2 linked regions of the Pelodiscus sinensis genome follow. The protein of the gene in region 1 interacts with the protein of each later gene in a biochemical or structural test. Links are inferred from orthologs where the notes say so. Each region holds a gene or a part of one and is shown in the gene's direction. Other genes may lie near its edges.

Region 1 (9,545 bases):
GTAAGCTAGTCCGAATGCATTAGCACTATAGTTACACACTCCTGGTACAATTGCCTGCCACTAGCTGCTATGCATTGGTGTGTAACCTTCTGTGAATGGAAGGAGCAACTTGTTTAATTTCTGAGAAAGTTGATCTCTGAGCTTTCATGCCATGATAATGTACGAATTTTGGGGTGTAGTTCTTATGGACAGCATATCTTTGTATATCAGATAACACTCTCTTTGGCCCCAGCATTGATTAAACTCAAGCATTGTTTAAAGTTTGCAGGATGTGGACTGGTACAATCCTTTCAGAAACTTGAGCACAAAAGTTGGTTGTGATTCAGTGCCTGTTACATGAAGCAGCTTTGTATAGGGTAACCAGCAATACAACCTGTAGTTCTCTCTAGGTGGGACTGATGACTATTATTATTTTCATGTATTTGCAACAAGAGAATGGTTTCAGTACCTGTCCAATTCACTAAATATCTGCCCTTTGTCTTTCTCCCTGTTCCATGGCCAGGGTACACTTTCTTCAGTGTTTCTTCTGAAGCTAGTTTGAGAAAGTATGAGTAATATGAGGAGCCTAGCCGAGCAGTACTGCCATTGTTTCCTTGTTCTTTGTCAATTATTGTTGTTCAGTTTTTACATATTACTTGTTATGTAATTGCTTATATAGCACTAGTGCCTAGGAAATTCAATCAAAGATCCTTATTTTGCTAGGCACTGTAGAGAAAGGTGATAAAGACAGTCCTTATTTTAGAAAGCTCACAATGTACTTGATAACAAGATGCAACAGGAGGACAAAACAGACAAATAAGACGAGGCACGAAATGGAATGGCAGTGGTCAGAAAAAAAGAAGCCAGGGCTTATCACATGGAGGGTATGTCTACATTGCAAATTTTTTTAGGAAAAATGGCCATTTTCCAAAAAAAACTACACTTATGTCCATGTTGCTATTGAGTTCTTTTGATAGAAAGTTGAAAGAACTGAGGGTTTTTTTCCGACAGCAATAAGCCTCTTTCTATGAGGAAAAAGCCTTTTTTCGAAAGAGCTCTTTCGGAAAAAGGCGTATGTGGACAGGGAAAAGGGTTTTTTTTTTGGAAGAGGCCTCCAGGAAATAACACAGATGCCCTCGTGGCCACTCCCATCGAAAGTAATCAGAACTCTATAGTTCCTATCTCCTGATACCTCTTAAAGCTGCAGGCACTTTGGAAAATCCTTGTGGCAGGAAGCTGGCCCTGGAGCAGCACCTGACTGTGTGGCTCTCTCTGCCACAGGCATTGCCAGCCGTGGCCCAGCCACAAGCCCCATGAGACCCTGCTAGCCTTCGCAGGGAGCAGCACCAGGGCTTCCAGGACCCAGCCAGGGGCAGCAAGCAGCATGCACCCTCCTGGTCCGGAATGGAGAACCTGTCTCTCCTCGAGCTGTGCGGGGAGGAGGAGACCCTATAGGATCTCTGCTCCCGACACCAAAACACCAAAATCCATGGCCGCATGGCTGCAGCCCTGGCAGAGCGGGGACACCCCCTCTGGACCTTCGAACAGGTCTAGAGTAAAGTCAAGGAGTGCCGCCAGGGCCAGGGATTGCAGCTTACATTCTGGGGCTGGACCCACTCCTGCCCCTATTACCAGAAGGTTCACCAAATCCTGGGGGTTGGGGAAGCCATTTCCCCACCCATGGTGGTCGATGCCTGTCGTCGCCCTCCCAGAGGTCATGGAGAAGTAGGAGGAAAAGGGACAGCAGGGGCAGGAGGAGGAAGAGGACACGACCAGCACTGTGACATTGAGCCTGGAGCTGGTACCCCTGAGCCAGGATGTGTCGCAGGCATCTTCTAATGGTGGGGAGAGATCATTAGGTGAGTGCTCTCAGTTTTCCACACACTTGAGGCGGGTGCAGAGAGGATGGGGTGTGAACATCGCTCAGCCTGCTCGCCCTGGACTTCATGCTGCAGTTTGAACTATGTGCAGTGCCAGTGTGTGCCATGAGGCCTCAGACGCAGCCCCTGAGCACCCTCGGGATCCTCCTCTCATGCTCAGGGAGGCCACACACGTCTGACCCCTGGGAGAGGGCACACAAGTCTACCCACCACCTGCCACAGTTGGAAGCAGGCTGGGCGCAAGGGCACAAGGCCAACCCCAGACAGACTGAGGTGTGCTGCACACAGCACATGGGCATGCCTGTGTGAGGCAGCACCCGCACCCATGGACAGTGCTGCAAGGCACAGGTGTGTGTGCGGGCCTCAGGGAGGGCCAGGCTTGGACACCTAGAATAGAGGCTTCATTTTCAGAATGCTTATACTATATATAAAAAAATTGTCTAGTAGCACTTTAAAGACTAACAAAACATGGGGGGAGGGGAGGGAGAAAAAAATTGAAGGCGAGGAAGAAAAAAAGATAGTAAATAGATAAGCTTCAGAAGCTCTCCCCTCTCTCCTTCCTTTATTTATTCTTGGATCTGGACTTCCAACACTCCGGTCATCTGAAGAAGTGGTTTGTGCCCATGAAAGCTCATGATACCATCTACATGTTTTGTTAGTCTATAAAGTGCTATTAGAATATTTGTTGTTTAAGTTCTTCCTGTTACAGAGTAACTCAGCTACCCCCTGAAGCTTTTATACTACATAAGTCCATGATACACTCACAACTTAAATATTGCATGCAAGTCCCGTCACCCCCTCATAAAAAAGATACATTAGAATTGGAACTGGTACTAGGATGGGTAACAAAAATGATTAAGAGTATGGAAGTTCCCCCCTCCTCAAATTCAGATGAGTGCAGATTTGATAGCTTGTATTTATTTAACTGTACTGTATATGATATGTTTCAGAGGAGCTCAGTGTGCTACATTGGACCACTGCAAAGAGGCTCAGGGCTGCAGTGGCCAAAGGAGAGGAACCCTTTCCCAAGCCCCCACATGGAGCAACCACAGGTGGGAGGGGAAGGGGCCCATCCCCACCAGCCCCAACACAGACTTGCTGTGGTGGGGGGAAGGGGCCTCCTTCCTGCTAGCTCCAGCACTGAGTGCAGCCAGTGTAGCTCTGCAGGAACTGGTGGGGAAGCAGCCAGCAGATCCAGCACTTAAGCAGGGGGAGGAAGGCACAGGGCTCTGTGCATTGTCCGCAGCCTGACTGAGTGGGGTGGGCGGTGTCCTTAATGGGTGGCTTACCGGGTACAGGTAATGGATATGGGCTGGAGCAGCCCCCCGTCTGCCAAGGGCCCAGTGCACTCCTGCCTGGCCAGAGTAGCTCCCATCTGTGGTGTCCCCCCACTGATCCCCTCCATTTAACTGGTTAAACTTGACATTTAACCAGCTAATGAAATAAATGGGATTTTACACCTTATCCTCCAACCCCTGGAGCCAAACCTGCTGGCTGTTTCTGGGGCATGGGGTGATGCCCCAGACAGGCAGATACCAGGCAGACACCACGAGCCATCCAGATAAGCTCGAGCCCTGAGCCCCCCATAAACCTGGTGCCCAAAGTGCACACCTGAGCCCACAGCCTGTATTCCCTTCGGCACGCCAACCTCTGCTCCAGAACACTCACTTCCTACTGCATCCAAATCCCCTTCCTCAACCTGCATCCCCCTTCGGTATTCTGAATCCTTTTGCCCTACTCCAGGCTGGAGTGCTCTCCTGCACCCCAATCTCATCCCCATTTTAGACTTTATACACCTTAGCCCCTCCTGTAGCCCAACTACTTGCTGCAGCCCTGAGCCCCTTCACACTCAGCACTTCCATTTAGAGCCCTCAACCCAATCCGTTAGCTCCACCTGTCACGCACTGTCCATGTGTGTAATGCCTTTTGTTATGTGATATATCACCGCCCTACTGGTGCACATAATGAAAGTTAATCTGCACATGGACATAAAAAATTACAGGGAACACTAGTGAGGGGTAATGAATTTAGACCTCCCACTGCTTGTTAGAGTACCACTGCAGAGACCTATGCAGGTAAATTGTTCCCAGTGAGGGTTGAAGGTTCAGCTAGAGCAGTGGTCTCCAATCTTTTTATACTCAAGATCACTTTTTAAATGACAGACCAAGCCAAGATCTACCACCCCGCCCCTTCCTTGAAGCCCCGCTCTCTCTATTCTCCTCCTCTCCATCACTTGCTATTCCCAATCCTTATACTGCTGTTTTTTTTAAAAGGTTTTTCCAACATTTGGAAGAGGTTTTTCAACATTTGGAAGTGGTGCTCAGCCAGGATGCACCACGCTCCACGTGGGCTGGTGCAGAGAAGAAGCTGCCTGGCCAGCTGGCTGTGGCCTTCAGCCCGGAGAAGGATGAACTGTGCTCCAGCTGATCGGGTGGCTTCCCCTCTGTGCCTGGCCACGTGGAGCTTGGTGCACCCTGGCTGAGCGCCATGGCCAGCTGGCTGGGAAGCAGCTTCTCTTCGCTCCCGCCATGCTGCCCTGTGCTCAGCCCGGGAAGCTTGCTCCAGCACAGCTGCAGCTAGACGCAGCCTCCCTGGGCTAAGCGCAGGGCAGCCAGGCTGGAGGGAAGAGAAGCGGCTTCCCGGCCAGCTGGCCATGGTGCTCAGCCAGGGTGCACCAAGCTCCACGTGGGCAGGCGCAGAGGAGAAGCCGCCCATCAGCTGGAGCGCAGGGCAGCCTCTTTCAGCTGAAAGCCACAGTCAGCTGGCTGGGGTGTTTCAGCCCTCCTGGCCTCCCAGCTCCCACAATTCCTCGCAGCTACTCACCTGTGTTGTTGCTTGGTGAGTAGCTGCTCCTCAAATGAGGAAATCTAATGTAAATGTACTGCGCAGGCGCGCAGTTCAGAGGGCTCAAGAGCTAAGGGTACGTCTAGACTACATGCCTCTGGCGACAGAGGCATGTAGATTAGGCTACCCAACACAGTAAAATGAAGCGGCGATTTAAATAATCGCCGCTTCATTTAAATTTACATGGCTGCCGCGCTGAGCCGACAAACAGCGTATCAGCTGTTTGTCAGCTCAGCGTGATAGTCTGGACGCGCGGGTGTCAACATCAAAGGTATTTGTCGACCACCCAGGTAAACCTCCTGGGATGAGGTTTACCTGGGTGGTCGACAAATACCTTTGATGTCGGCAGGGGAGCGTCCAGACTATCGCGCTGAGCCGACAAACAGCTGATCAGCCATGTAAATTTAAATGAAGTGGCGATTATTTAAATCGCCGCTTCATTTTACTGTGTCGGGTAGCCTAATCTACATGCTTCTGGCGACAGAGGCATGTAGTCTAGACGTACCCTTAGAGCCCCTGAGATCTACCAGTAGATCACGATCTACTGGTTGGTGACCACGCAGCTAGAGCCATGCATAAGGTGAGCACGTGTTCTCTTCCAGAACAGTCCTATTTATTCCAGCTGTCCTAGTTGTTTGGGAAAAGTTTTCCTTTGTCCCCTTTGCTCTCCCAAACTGAATCAAATTGGTAAAAAAAGTGGGGTGCGTAGGAACGTGCTTGGGGAGGGATGGCAGGCTCAACGTGAGCCAGCTGCAATTCTAGCCCCAGCCTCGCACCGGGAAGGGAGCACCAGGGGGAGGGAAAGCTCGGGCCAGCCCCACATGGCTGAGCCTCGGCCTAGCCTCACGCGGGGTCCCTTTCGCCCTGTGGGAGCGATGGTCTCTCCCGCCCTACACGCTGCGAGGTCTGCCCTGCGCCTAGCCCCACAGGCACGCCTGGGCACATGATCCACGTTCTGCGGCAGCCCCCGCTGGGCCTGGCGCTCCAGCCCCGGGCAGCCCGCGCTGAGGCCCTTGGAGCCCTTGTGCGTTACTGACACGGGGCTCTGGGCAGCAGCCGGGGCTCTGGCCGCGGCCCCCTCCCCGACCTCGCGGGCAGCGCCGCAGCTCAGGCCACTCGCTCCGTTCCCGCTCCCTGCAGCTGGCGCCGCCTTCTCCGCCCGCCCCCGTGATGGCGGCGCCCGCCTCGCTGCTGGTACCCGGGGGCGCCGGGCTCGCGCCTCCACAGTAGCGGCGGGGCTGGAGCCGCCCCCGGCTCGGCGCCTTTGTTCGCCTGCGAGCGGCGGGCTCCGCGCCGGGGCCACCGTCGCCTCAGCCGGGCGAGCGGCGCCCAGGGGCGGGGGCGCGGCCAGAGCCGGGCGGGGCGGGCCAGGCCACGCGGCTCCTCCCCCGCAGCCGCCCCGGGTACGGGCCCAGCCGGCCGCCCAGCGCCGCAGCAAGTTTGTGGGCAGCTGCCGCCGGGGGCTATGGAGGCGGCGGGAGCCACCATGGCAGGCGGGACGAGCTCCGCGCTCTCGGAGTCAGGCTGGTAAGTGGGGCCTGCCCGCTGGGCGGCTCCTCGGGCCCGGGGTGGGACTCGGGCCAGGCCTGGAGGGTCAGGCCTGGGCCGGGAAGCGGCTGCTGCGGCTCTAGGCCTCTCTGGTTCCTGTCCCTTTCCACCCTGACTTGTAACACTCCCCTCCCGCCTGCCTTGTGAGAGGAGCAGGAAGTGTGGGGGGAAGGTAAGTGGCTTTCACAGTGGCATGGCAGCTCTTGGTTTGACCTTTCTGGGGCCCTTAGAGGGGATATGCTAGGCACAGTCCCGCAGCAAAAGATCCAGAGACCAGACCTGCTTTTCCCTTTCTCAGTTTTCCCTGTCTATACAGTGAAGGGTTTCATATTTCCTATATTTTTTACATAGTTATCTCTGTTAGCAGGAGCATGCTGTGGCCTTTGTAGTTAGTCTGTGCACCTGGGTTGCCTTTAACATCTCCCATAAATGAAACAGAAAGCAAGAATCATGGAGTGTTTTGTGAACAGTTAATGAAATAAACGTCCCAGCATCTCTCGAGTTGGTATTATTGCACTAATGTTACAGAAATGATCAGCAGGTAAAGTTTAATGCACCAGAAAGTTGCCTAAATTCATAGGCCTTGTCACTGTAACCTTTCTCTGAACAAGGCTGATATTTCAGTGCAGCTCCACTAATGGTAACAACAGTGGGATTGCTGAGTTAGACAAGGTTCTGAAGAACTGAGGATAGTTTTTACTGTCATTTTGATTAAACGTGCTGCAACAGTTTTAGCTGAGATGTAGTGAAAACATTGTAGGCCCACAGCCTTTCTGGACCACTCATACTAGCGCTGGTTGTGCTGCATGGATGGAAAATTATTTTTAAAAGGGGCTAGTGTAGACAGTCTTGTGTCTCTCCTGTTTGTTCAATTAGTTGGAAATAATACTTCAGTCAAAATGCAACACTTAACCAAAGTTACCACTTTTTCCAAAACAAAGCATACGTGTACTCACCTGGGTATGGGTTGGTGTTATTTATTTACTAGATTAGACTTTTTTCTCCTTAATTATTTTACAACACAATTGTGAAAATGGGCATGCTTTGCAATATATGATACTTATAAAAAAGTAATCATTTAGGTCTAACTTGGAAAATAGTTGTAATACATGGTTACATTGCAAGTATGTGAGTAGGCCTATTGACTTGAGTGGAAATACTTGCTTGAAGTTTCACTTGCTTGAAGTTTCACATGCTTAGACTCTAGAATGTGTACCTCTCTTCTTCCTGTATTTTATTGGATTGGGGCTTTACAGTGCCTAAATTATTTCTATCACTTGAAAAGGATCACAACAAAGGTCACATTTTAATTGCTGGAGCTTATATACTGTTAAACCTATACTTTTTTTTTCCCTTCAAATTTTCATTCAAAGTTCAGTTTCTGGAGAAAATAGCAATCTATGGGAAGACTATAAATCTACTGATCTGTTAACTTTCTGTTCCTACAAACTTGGATTGCCTTTGAAATTACCTGATGTTCTTTTATGGAATCATTGATCAAACTAAGAAGCTGAGGTGTCTTGCTAGGACTGCTTCTCTGCAGATGCTTGGCTAAGGAGTAAAGGTACTAATTTCAGAAATTATCTTTTAACACTATTCTAGGACAAAGGGTCATGACTTTTGGCCACCAGAAGTTAGGTACTAAAAGTAATTTTTAATAGAAACTGTATTCAAGAAGATCAGCAATTTATAAATTGAAATTAGCAAAGTTTTCAGGCAAGTAGTTTATAATTTCATCTTCATTTTTTAATTTTTAGTTTCTTATTATGCATAGATATATAGATATCGTTAAATGAAAGTAGAGAGGTTATTTTACCTTTTGAATTTGGCACTACTGCAACTGCTGCTTGAATATTGGAATATCTAGTTCTGGCATCCATGATTCAAGAAAAATGTTTTGAAGTGGATTCAGAGAAGAGCCATGAGAATAATTAGAGGATTAAAAATCATCCCTTGTAGTTACAGATTTTTTTTAACTCAACACTTGTTTAATTCAACAAAGAGGAAGATAAGGGGTAACTTGATTACAGTCTGTAAGAAACTGCATGGTGAATAAATATTTAATGGGCTCTTCAATCTGGCAGAGAAAAATATAAAAGGATCCAGTGGTTGGAAATTGAAATGTGGATTAGAAGTTTTGGTTGATTCTCTATCACTAGCTATTTTTAAAATCAAAATTGTTTGTGTTTTTCTAAAAGATGTTTTCTAGGAATTATTTTGGGCGAGGTTTTGTGACCTTAGTTGTACAGGAGTTCAGATTGGATGACCACAAGAGTTACGACTTGGCTTGGAATTGTGAATTTAAAATATTCGTCTTAACACACACACTGAAATTTTTAGACTGTTGCCACTTCTCTAGTTTGGTAGTTCAGTGAGCATAGATGATTGTTGATATTTTCACCACAAATATAAGCATTTTCAAAACACCTTAGTGGCTAGCTTATATTAATAACTGAAATGTCCCAAATGGTGAGCTGCAGTGGTGTGACCTCCCCCTCTGTGTTGCACTGGCTTTGTGCTCGTAGCCAGCACAGCAGACTCTGAGAGAACCCCCAAATACCACAGTATCCAATAAGGGACAAAGCTATCAGGGCCAGATTTGTTGTTGATGAAGCATGGTCCTAGCTCCCTGGATCAGATGTCTACGTCTATGCTAACCTGTGTGTGTTTGCAGTGGACCAGCTCAGTAAGCGGTGGGACTCTCTATTGCCTCCTAGGCCAGACCAAGACAATCCCTTTAGGACAATGGTTCCCAACCTTTTTTATATTGAGGACTGGCAAACCAATTCATAAACTTTTGGCGGACCTGTAACATTTTATTTATATATTTGCATATTCACATGCAAGTAATAAATATTCAGATATACAAATAAAATGTTACCCGCCTGCCAAAAGATTGTGAATGGGTTCCGATCCGTGGTATAAAAAGCCCCAGAACCAGCCTTAACTCCTAGAGCCCCTCACCCTTCCACTACCCCCCAGTGCCAGCCGCTGACCCCAGAGACCCCTGCACCCAACCCCCCTAGAGCCAACATCTCGCCCTCAGAGTCCCCTAGTGCCAGCCCCCTTGCCCCAAACGTCTCAGTGCCAGCCTCCTGTTTCCAGAGCCCCACTAAACCTAATCCCTCCAGGTTAGCCCCGTGTCAGCCCCCAGTCCCCAATACTAGCCCTTTCTTCTGTGCCAGCCCTGCCCCTCTAGTCCCTTCACTGTCCCTGACCCCTGAGCCCCCCAGAACTCACTCCCCATTCTGGATGTCATAGTGCCCCTCGGTGTCAGCCACCCCCCCAGCCCTA
Region 2 (9,755 bases), on another chromosome or scaffold:
AAAACTGGGTGACTGGGCAACACAAGAGCAGATGGAATTCAGTGTTGATAAGTGCAAAGTAATACACATGGAAAATATAATCTCAGCTATAGATACTAGGAGGCTGTGCCCCCTGCTCGCTATGCTTGCCAGCCCCCCTCTTGCTCTCTGCTTTCATGGCCAGAGAGTTTGTTAATCTTGCAGAGTCCAGCTGTGCTTTCCATAGCCCCAAGTCACTCACAACCTTCTCCACTCCTGCCCACCCCACCCCTGGACTGTCTATATCTGAACACTTTTAGCCCATCCCACCTACTCATGCCCTTCAATTGCCAGTCAGTCTCCCCATCCAATGCCTTTCCTGCTGTTGCCCAATCTGCCAATAACTCCATTCCCTATCCTTGGTGTAGGCCTGATGCAGTTCTTTAATTTTCATTTGCACCTGGTCCAGTGTGTATGTGTGGCCATTCTGGGCCAGGCTGGCGGCCATCTGACCATAAACATCCGCAGTCCTGAGTCTGATGTGGAGATCCTGGAAGTTGGACTGCTCACCCAACACCTCAATGAAATCCAGTATCTCTGCACCGGTCCAGAATAGGGCACTTTTTCACCCCTGGAGCTTCCGGGGTGGCTGCTGGCATGCGTGCAGCCATAGGAGGCTTGGAGGGAGCACTGGGGTCTGTCATGACAGCAGCGTAAGCTGTGCAAGGTGCTGCAGTGTGGCATGGGGCTAGCAGGAATGATATGGTGCCACAAGCCCTTTCCCTTCTTCCTGCAACTTTAAACCCTGCAGAAGAAGGGAAACTATAGAGTTTTGAGGGGTGTGAACAGAGTGGCCACTAGAACAGCTGTGAGATGCCCTTGAGGCCAATTATTTCAAAATAAGCACAGCTGACCCGTCCACAGTCACCCTATTTCGAAATAGCAATTTTGAAATAGGCATTACATTTCGTAGAATGAGGGGATATTATTCTGAAATAACAAGCGCATTATTTTGAAATAATTTCAAAATAACAGGCTTGCTGTGTGGATGCTCACCTTGTTATTTCAAAATAACAGGAGTTATTTATAGCTCAAGCTGGCTTTACAGTTCAAGCTGTAGAAGTACCTACAGTAAGCTCCAGAGGTCCCTGGTTCAAACCTGCTTGTCGGTGATTAAAACTAGAGCGGGTGGGCAGGCAGGCGGGGGGTTCATCCAAGATTGCACCTGAGTCTCTGGAGCTTAAGATGTGCTTCTTTAGCTATGGGAAGTATGTAATCCACAGACCTAGTGGGTGTGGTTCATTGTCTCATGTAGCAGCTCTTAGCCCACTTAGAGAAGGGAGTGTGCCAGCTGACTTTACAACTCAAGCTGTAGAGGATCCTACATTAAGGTGCCAGGTTCATATCTGCCTGATGGAGGTTACACATCTATGGCAAGAAACCAGTGAATGAAGGATGAAAAGCTTGTCTAAAAACTGAAGTTGTGCTGTTTTAGTTTAAATCAGTTGAATTAACCCAGTGCAACTTTTATGTGTGGACTGTTTTATATTGATTTAAAATGGATTCTATAAGTTTTGCTTGCACATTTTATATAAATAAGATTTAAAGTGATAGAAGTCTGTATACAATTGCACTGGCTTAAATAAGTTGGTATAAAATAACACTGTTGTTATATTGGTAACAACTTTGCAGACTAGCTTAAGGGAAAATCTTAACTGTGAATTTCCCTGTTCTTGTAAGAACTACCAAGATATTTAAGGTTACTTCAATATCGTTTTTGCATGTTTCTATTTTATTAAGAATCCTTGAATTAAGGAAATATTATATGAGAGTCTGAGACTTTTAGAATTGATATTATTTTCAACTTACATTACTATGGTGTATTAGAAAATAGTACTTACAAAATTAAATCATTGTAGGATAGGAAAAATCACCATTCTATTCAGAAACACTAAACAGGTTGAAACTCTGCAGTCTGGCCCCCTCAGGACCTGACTGAATCTAGATCAGAGAATTTGCTGAATCATGGGAGATCAATATTGTCTATCAGCATGCCGACACTTTCACTGCTTATTGGGCTCTTAAAAGACGGTTGGAGTAAATTAGAGCTAAATAATAGCACAGGACATTGAGAGCCAGGACTGATGGCTGTAAACAAACTTTATTGGACTGTGGGAAGGTTGACACACCCCTGATAAGCGGACATCCAGATAACTGAAATCATTCTGGACCACAGATGTTTCTGGCCCAGAGAGTGCTGGACTAGAGAGATTCAACGGCTGCATCTAGACTGGCATGATTTTGCAGAAATACTTTTAACGCAGTGGTCCCCAACCTTTTGAGGTTGTCAGGCGCCAAGGGGCGTGGCCGTTCGCCCGCCGGGTGCCGGGGGCGGGGACACTTGCGCGCCCGGGGGCGGCCCCCCCCCATAGCCGCATGCCCAGGGCCGGGGCCACCCCCCATAGCCATGCGCCCGGGGCCGGGGCCCCCCCATAGCCACGCACCCGGGGCCGGGGCCCCCTCCAAGGGCCGCACGCCCGGGGCCGGCGCTCCCCCCCCGCAAGCGCCGCGCACCCAGGGCCGGCGCTCCCCCCCCCCCCGCAAGCGCCACGCGCCCGGGGCTGGCGCTCACCGTGCGCCATGTGCCCGGGGCCAGGTCAGCCCCGAGCACCTGGCGGGCGCATGCAAATGCCCCCGCGGGCACCGTGTTGGGGACCACGGTTTTAACAGAAAAGTTTTTCCGTTAAAAGTATTTCTGCAAAGGAGCGTCTAGATTGGCACGGATGCTTTTGCACAAAAATGCTTTTGCGCAAAAGCATCCGTGCCCAATATAGACGCGCTTTTGCGCAAGAAAGTTCCGATGGCCATTTTAGCCATCGGGCTTTCTTGCACAAAAAATTAAGGTGCCTGTCTACACTGGCCCTCTCGCACAAGTATTCTTGCACAAGAGTGTTTATCCCTGAGCGGGAGCATCAAAGTATTTGCTCAAAAAGCACTGAATTCTTACATTAGAATATCAGTGCTCTTGCGCAAATTCAAGCAGCCAGTGTAGACAGCTGGCAAGTTTTTGTGCAAAAGCAGCCACTTTTACGCAAAATCTTGCCAGTCTAGACGCACCCAACCTGTATATAGTTCATTGTGCTGGTGGAACTTAGTTTACATGAGTTCAAATTGTGAATTGGCTTGTACATGTCTGCCACACTCTCTATTGGATTTAAACATAACTGTTCAGCTGCATAAAATCTAATGTAAGGTGGACCCTACTGAAACCATGGTCTTTTCATTTATTTTAGTGTGGCAGAAACTAATGTTTTGAGGAGAAACAATAACTTTAGTTTTGCATTATTCATTCCACATAGGAGACAGGTGGCAACAGGAACTGCTACAGAAAACAACTTAACAGGGCAGCTTTTATTGCTTTAGTTAGTATGGAGAAAATTAGCAGCAGAGGGGATTAAGAATGAAATTCTCTCTCACCAAAGAGCAGCTATTGTCCATCCCATTTTAACATTTTTCTCCACTTAAGCTCAACCTGGAGTCAGACCAGGGGTAATGTTCAAAAAGCTCCATTTGTGTCAGCAACATTTGGGAGTCATAGTGCCTGATCTTCTGATGTCCTGCGTGTAGTCATTGTGGGTACAGGCTAAAGTTGAATTAAGCTACACTACTTCATCTACGTCAATTGTGTATTTTAATTCTGAACAGCTCAACTCAGATTTAGGCACAGTCTACACAGAAAGAAGTCGAAGGAAGAACACTCTTACTCCAACTTTCCTTACCCCTCATGAAATGAGGGTTACAGAGTCAGGGTAAGAAATCCTTCAGCATTATTATTTAGAAATATAGGCTTGTAGAGTAGATGTGCTCTGTGTTATTTCCGAATAACGTCATTTATTCTGAAATAACGCTGCTGTGTAGATGCACCCTGTGAGTGCAACATAAACCTCCTTTGGTCTTTGTGCTGGTGAAAACTGTTCAAGGTTCAGGGCAATGAAAAATACAATCCATCTTGTAGAGAGGGCTTCTGTGGCTGCCCGTGTCATAAGCACTGTGTCCATAAGACCTACTCAGATGCATGTTAGATGATCTGGGCGATCCCCCTGGAGCAAGCCTCACTCTGCTTCCCCCTACCCTACGCCTGCACCCCACCCTTTCCCCACCCCCTTGCCCATAGACTACTCCCCCAACAAGGCCAACTGGGTGATTAGTAGGGAGCCTGGCTCAGGGCAGCAGCACAGGGTTGGTCTCCTCTCTGTCTCCCAGCAGCCTGTTCTGCTCCATTCTACCACCCTTTCCCAGTCCACTGTGCTCTGCTTCACTTCGGGGGTGAGAAGTGTTGCACCCTGAGGCCAAGGTGCTCTGCTTCCTGCTGCCACAGTGAAGTGGATCACAGCAGGTTGGGCAAGAGTGTGAGGGCAGGGTGGGGTGGAGCAGAGTAGGTTGCCAGGTTGCTCCAGCTCCTTCCACCATAGTGAATGAGAGGGCACCTTGACTGTCACCCTGCACTAGGTCCTCCCTCCACAGGTAATCCCCGAGGCCACCCTGGACAGGACAGCTCTGTCTGAAAATATTTATCTCTACATCCGCAGCTGCAGATACCTGAGTATATTAAATAGATAATTGCAAATCTGCAGGATTTCTAGATACAACTTTTGTATCTGTATCCACAAAAATGAGCTGCAGATATCCACATTCACATTTACAGATGTAGAAACCTGTAGATATAAAGCAGATATCTGCTGACATAAAGGGTACTAACCGTCTCGCCACTGGGAGGGGCAGGACCTGAGCCAGTGAAGAAAAGCATTTCTCTGGGGGGCAAAGATCAGGACAAATGTAGGATAGCCTCTGACTGAGCACAGAGCCAATGAGTGGAAGCATCACCCTGAGGACAAAGGGTGGGCGCCAACTGGAGAAGAAACGGCTCTCTAAAGGCAGAGGGAAAGCCAGTGGGCATCTCCCTTAGGGCAAGAGCCAAGAGCAACAGGAGGACAGCATCTCTCAGAGGAAGGCAGCAGACCAGTGAGTGAACAGCATCTCCCTATGGGCATAGGACCAGTGGGCAGACAGCATGTCTCAGGGCAGGGGCAGACAAAATAAAGCCCACAGGCCAGATCAGACCTACTAAACCTCTGCATCCAGCCCAAGGGAGTCTTTCCCGGGCACCCTGCCTGCCAGCCTGCTCCTGCGCACTGCTCAGCGCAGCTCTGAGCCCTGCACGCCCAGAGAAATGGGGAGAGACGCTGCACGCACAGCTCCTCCCACTGGCAGGGGCGGGGCCAATGGGCAGCTCTCTCCTCCGAGCGCCTTTGCCCATCTCCCGGACGGGCTTCCGGCGCGGTGACCCGGAAGTGGAAGCGGGGAATCAATGGCGGCGCGCGGGGGCTGGTGAGCGGGCCGCTGCGGGGGGCGCTTTCTGGGCCGGGTCTGCGGGATCGGGGCCTGGCAGCGGGCAGACCGGAAGCCGCCTGCGGGGCGCGCGAGGGCTGCAGTCGCTTTGCCATGAAGTGAACCGGCTTCCTGTGGACTTAGCGGGGTGGGGAAATCCGGAATCGCTCCGGGGTTTCAGGCTGAATCGGCGCAGGACGGCGGGAATCGTTCTGGGGTTTAGATAACGGGGAAGAGGGGGCTGGGGATGGGAGAGCCGCTTAGTTGGCTTTGGACTTGGAAAAACAGCAAGAACGCTAGTTCCCATTCTGGATCAGCCATCCTGGAAAGCTGCATTTGATGGGCGGGTAAAATAAACCATTTTTTCCCAGTCACTGAAAAGAATTCTTCAAAGGAGTCACTGGCTGGTAAATTATAGTAGCTTTCATCCTGGAGTGAATTGTTATAGCCAAGCTATAAACCACTGTGTGTAATGGAAATGCTGATACAGCTTGTATCCATAGGACCACCTAAACACGATGACAGCAGAACGGAATAGTTGTTTGAAAATGATTAAGTGACAGGAAAATGTGTATTGTTGGCATACACATATAACATTTTGTATCCCATTTTTTTCTACACATGATTTCATTTAAACTCAAGCTGTTTTTCCCCCTCTTTTTAGGCAGAAAGATAATACAGTGAGAACAAAGTGAAGTTTATGCTAGGCTAAAATCCCTTGATTAAGTCTTCCAGCCCTTTGAACTCCATAACTAAAAATGAAGACGGTGTTTATGGTTGCAGAGAAGCCTTCTCTGGCTCAGTCTATTGCCAAGATCCTCTCAAGAGGTAAGACAGAAAGCTTGCTAATCTCTTCAGTCTTTTTTGTTTCTCTTAGAAAGGGTATGTTTGTACTGTAAGAAATAAATTTATTAAAACACATATGTGTATCTCTTTGTTTGGAAGTAAAGCAATTTACTAATTGCTGCATATTACAAAGACTACTAGATTTCAAGGAAGGTGGAAGCTAAAAAAAAAAAACCCTACTATTTGGATGCAGATGTTAATCTGAGCTGCCAGCTGCAGATGAAACTGGATGACATTCAGCATTTAAAAGGTTGTCAATAGAACTCTCCTCCATCTTTCCATTTGCTGCTGCTTAGTTGACTGGGTTTTTCTTGCTTGGAAAACCAACAAGAATGCTACTTTCCTTTCTGAGTCATCCAACCTGTAAAGTTGCATTTATTGGTGGGAAATTTTTCAACAATTTGAAACAAAGTATAAACCTGTGTGCCAGGAGACTGATTTTGTTACTTAATATAATGTTTTTACTGTTCTATTGTACTGTTCAGAGATTCTAAGTAAGTAGTAGATCCCTTGCTCTGAGGTTTTTCTGGCTTAGAGGCATGAGCTGGTATAGTACAGCTCTCTATATATAATGCAGAGTGTGTTCATTATACTTTGTGTTGATCCACAGGATAAGTTTGGGACATGTTAAATGGAAGGTTGTTGCAAATATATAGTGAGATGTTAATAATGGCCCAAATGAGGGAGTTCGCAAGAGAGAAACTTGTGTAGAGAATAGAAGGGGGTTCAGGAAAATCTGGAGATACAGAGGAAAGACAGAGTTTCATGATGCAAGAAACAAGATTACTTTCAGTATTTTAATGTCTGTTCATATTTATTTTATTTTTTTGTACAGGAAACATGTCTTCTCATAAAGGGCTGAATGGGGCATGCTCTGTTCATGAGTACACTGGATCATTTATGGGGCAGAGTGTCCACTTCAAGATGACATCTGTGTGTGGCCATGTGATGACTCTGGATTTCATAGGTATTGTCTATTTGTTGTCTGTTTGATTTTGAGCAGTTTGCAACTTTTTAAAAAAAAAAACAGCACTGATGCAAAATTAACTGTGATTAGTAAAATCAGAGTCACTGCTTCACTGTAAATTGGATAAGAGAAAGGAGTTAAGTCAAAGTATAGTCTTCAGATTAAGACATTGTCTAGATTTGGAAGCTCTAAGTTTCATTCCTGATATTGCAACAGACTGTGTGATCTAGGGCAGTGTTCTCATCCAGGTGTCTTGATCCTCGGTGTAGGGAGGGACAGGGGCGCAGCAGGTTCCAGAGACATCCAAGCTGGGCCAGCATTAGACTTTCTGGGGCTCAGGGCAGAAAGCTGAAACCCTACTACTGCATAGTGCTGAAGCCCAAGGCCTTGAACCCTGCCACCGATGCTGAAGCCAAAGCCTGAGCAACTTAGCTTCATGGAGCCCCAGGCAATTGCCCTACTTGCCTAATGCCAGCCTTGGCATTTATATGCAGAAAACCAGTTGTTGTGGCACAGGAGGACTATGGAGTTTTTATAGCATGTTTGGGGAAGAGAAGGGGATCAGAAAGAAAAAAGTTTAGAACATCAGATTTTAGGGCAAATCACTTATCTTCTCTGTGCTTTCATTATTTTATCTGCAAATGGGGAGATGAGTCTAAATTTTCTAATGTTTTCAAATACTAAGATTCTTGGATGCAAAATATTATTAAAAGGGCCTGGTGTAAAAATGTGATGGAATATTCAAAGAGGTATGTAATGGCTTAAGTGCATGACTAGGAACTCCTTGGATTTTAATGTTGCCTCTCACTGACTGTGACACAGAGATTGTCATTTGACAACTGTTTTTCCATCTGTAAAATGAAGATAATACTTAACTACCTCACAGGTGTTATGAGGAGTAAATAGTATGCACAGTGCTTTGAAGATGTCCGACAGTATGTTAGTGCTAACAGTTACAATCAAGAATGACTGAGATATGGAAAACAAAAGAAACAATATAATGGAGCCCAACAGATTATATAGGAGAAACAATGAAACTGACTATTTATAAAAGGACTGTAAAAATGCTCAAAGTGAGTAAGTTGCAGAAATAGAAGAACATAACTTTTTTTAACTCCTCCCTCTAATGTTTCAGTTATAGTTACTTGTCACAAAACAAATTTCCTTTAGAAATGTGTTTTTGTTGCTATCCCTTTAAAATATGACTGATCTCAATATAAATCAAAGTTAGAGGCCATTGCAGCACTTGGTGGAGAAGAATGAAGCACTGAACTTTCTAAAAGAATGCCATTTCTATAGTCAGCATACTATGATTAGCTTTGCAAGCTATGTCTTTGTACAATAAATGTTTTATTTAAGGTATTTAGAACTGTTTCCCATTTCAGGAAAATATAACAATTGGGACAAAGTGGATCCAGCAGAGCTTTTTAGCAAAGCCCCTACAGAAAAGAAAGAAGCTAACCCCAAATTGACTATGGTGAAATTTTTACAGGTATTCTTTGAGATGTATTTTAAACTGTTTTGGGATTTTTTTTCAAATGGTTAGTGTTCTCTTTAACTACAAGCCTGACTAAATGGACTCTTGTACATTTCAAAGGAGGTATGCGGAAGTGCCTATCGACCTGTCGTGTAGGCAATGGAAATTCCATCAACAACTTGACTAGTAAATTAGTCGTTCGTTAACATCCCTAGATCACGGTGCATAATCAGCTCCACATGAGCTCCCATGTGGTGCTGTGGCCACAAGGGCTAATGCAGTCTGTGGATGAATAATAAATGGAATCTCAAGCAGGAGTAGAAAAATCATCTTCCTTATTTGGCACTAATGCAATTACTGCTGGAATACTGTTTCCAGTTGCAGTGTGCACAGTTCAAGAGGGATGTAAAATCTCATTTAGTTGAGTAACCGGTTAAACATATTGTTTAACCAGTTAATCAATTAAAGGGGAACAAGCTTGGATGGGGGTCTCCAGCCCAGTTGGACCACTTTCCCACCATTCCTCCCACTAGTGTTGCCAGATGGTTGAACTAAAAATACTGAAAACACCTTCCCCCCTCTACCCTCCCCAAAAAAACCACTGGGGAAAAAATTCTGTTGGGGAAGGGGAGGAGACCAAAGTTGTTGAGCAAAAAAAATTAAATAATAAAACAGCATTAAACATCATGGCCCCTTTCAGAGTGAGTGCAGAATTAGAATAGAGATAGGAACAGGGGAGCGATTGAGCACTAAGACCCAGGGAAGGCGTTGCTTCCCCTTGGTCTTTAGGCTTTTTGCCGGCAAACATTTTGTGTTCTTGTTCAAGTCAGAACTTAACTTCCCTATGGAACCAGGTAAGCATGAGGTCTGGGGACAAGGGGCTGGGGCTGGGCCCAGGTGTTAGGGTTGCCAAGTGTCCGGTATTTTCACCTCCTGTCCAGGAAAAAAAATCAGAAAATACCGGACATTTTAGGTGTCTGGTATTTTCTGAATTTTTTTACCGTACAGGAGGCGAAAATACTGGACTGTCAGGGTCAATACCAGACACCTGGCAACCCTACCTCCCACTGCGTGGGAACAGAGCTAGCTTTTAAGCCAGCTTCTCCCGAACACCGGCTC

The links. The genes of interacting proteins can lie anywhere in the genome.
Region 2: the proteins of TDRD3 (region 1) and TOP3B form a complex in vitro, tested with the Homo sapiens proteins (2 studies listed by BioGRID and IntAct, with this or other methods). The link is inferred for Pelodiscus sinensis from reciprocal best matches to the Homo sapiens genes TDRD3 and TOP3B.

What each region holds. Positions count from the first base shown.
Region 1 is NC_134711.1:278,660,440-278,669,984, reverse strand, and holds the start of TDRD3 (tudor domain-containing protein 3), read left to right. Parts: upstream 1-5,871; 5' UTR 5,872-6,168; coding exon 6,169-6,230; intron 6,231-7,624; exon of another isoform or gene 7,625-7,815; intron 7,816-9,545. UniProt on the Homo sapiens protein: Scaffolding protein that specifically recognizes and binds dimethylarginine-containing proteins. Plays a role in the regulation of translation of target mRNAs by binding Arg/Gly-rich motifs (GAR) in dimethylarginine-containing proteins.
Region 2 is NC_134725.1:16,993,444-17,003,198, forward strand, and holds the start of TOP3B (DNA topoisomerase 3-beta-1), read left to right. Parts: upstream 1-5,235; 5' UTR 5,236-5,346; intron 5,347-5,378; exon of another isoform or gene 5,379-5,465; intron 5,466-6,010; 5' UTR 6,011-6,104; coding exon 6,105-6,174; intron 6,175-7,025; exon of another isoform or gene 7,026-7,027; coding exon 7,028-7,159; intron 7,160-8,045; exon of another isoform or gene 8,046-8,232; intron 8,233-8,544; coding exon 8,545-8,651; intron 8,652-9,755. UniProt on the Homo sapiens protein: Releases the supercoiling and torsional tension of DNA introduced during the DNA replication and transcription by transiently cleaving and rejoining one strand of the DNA duplex.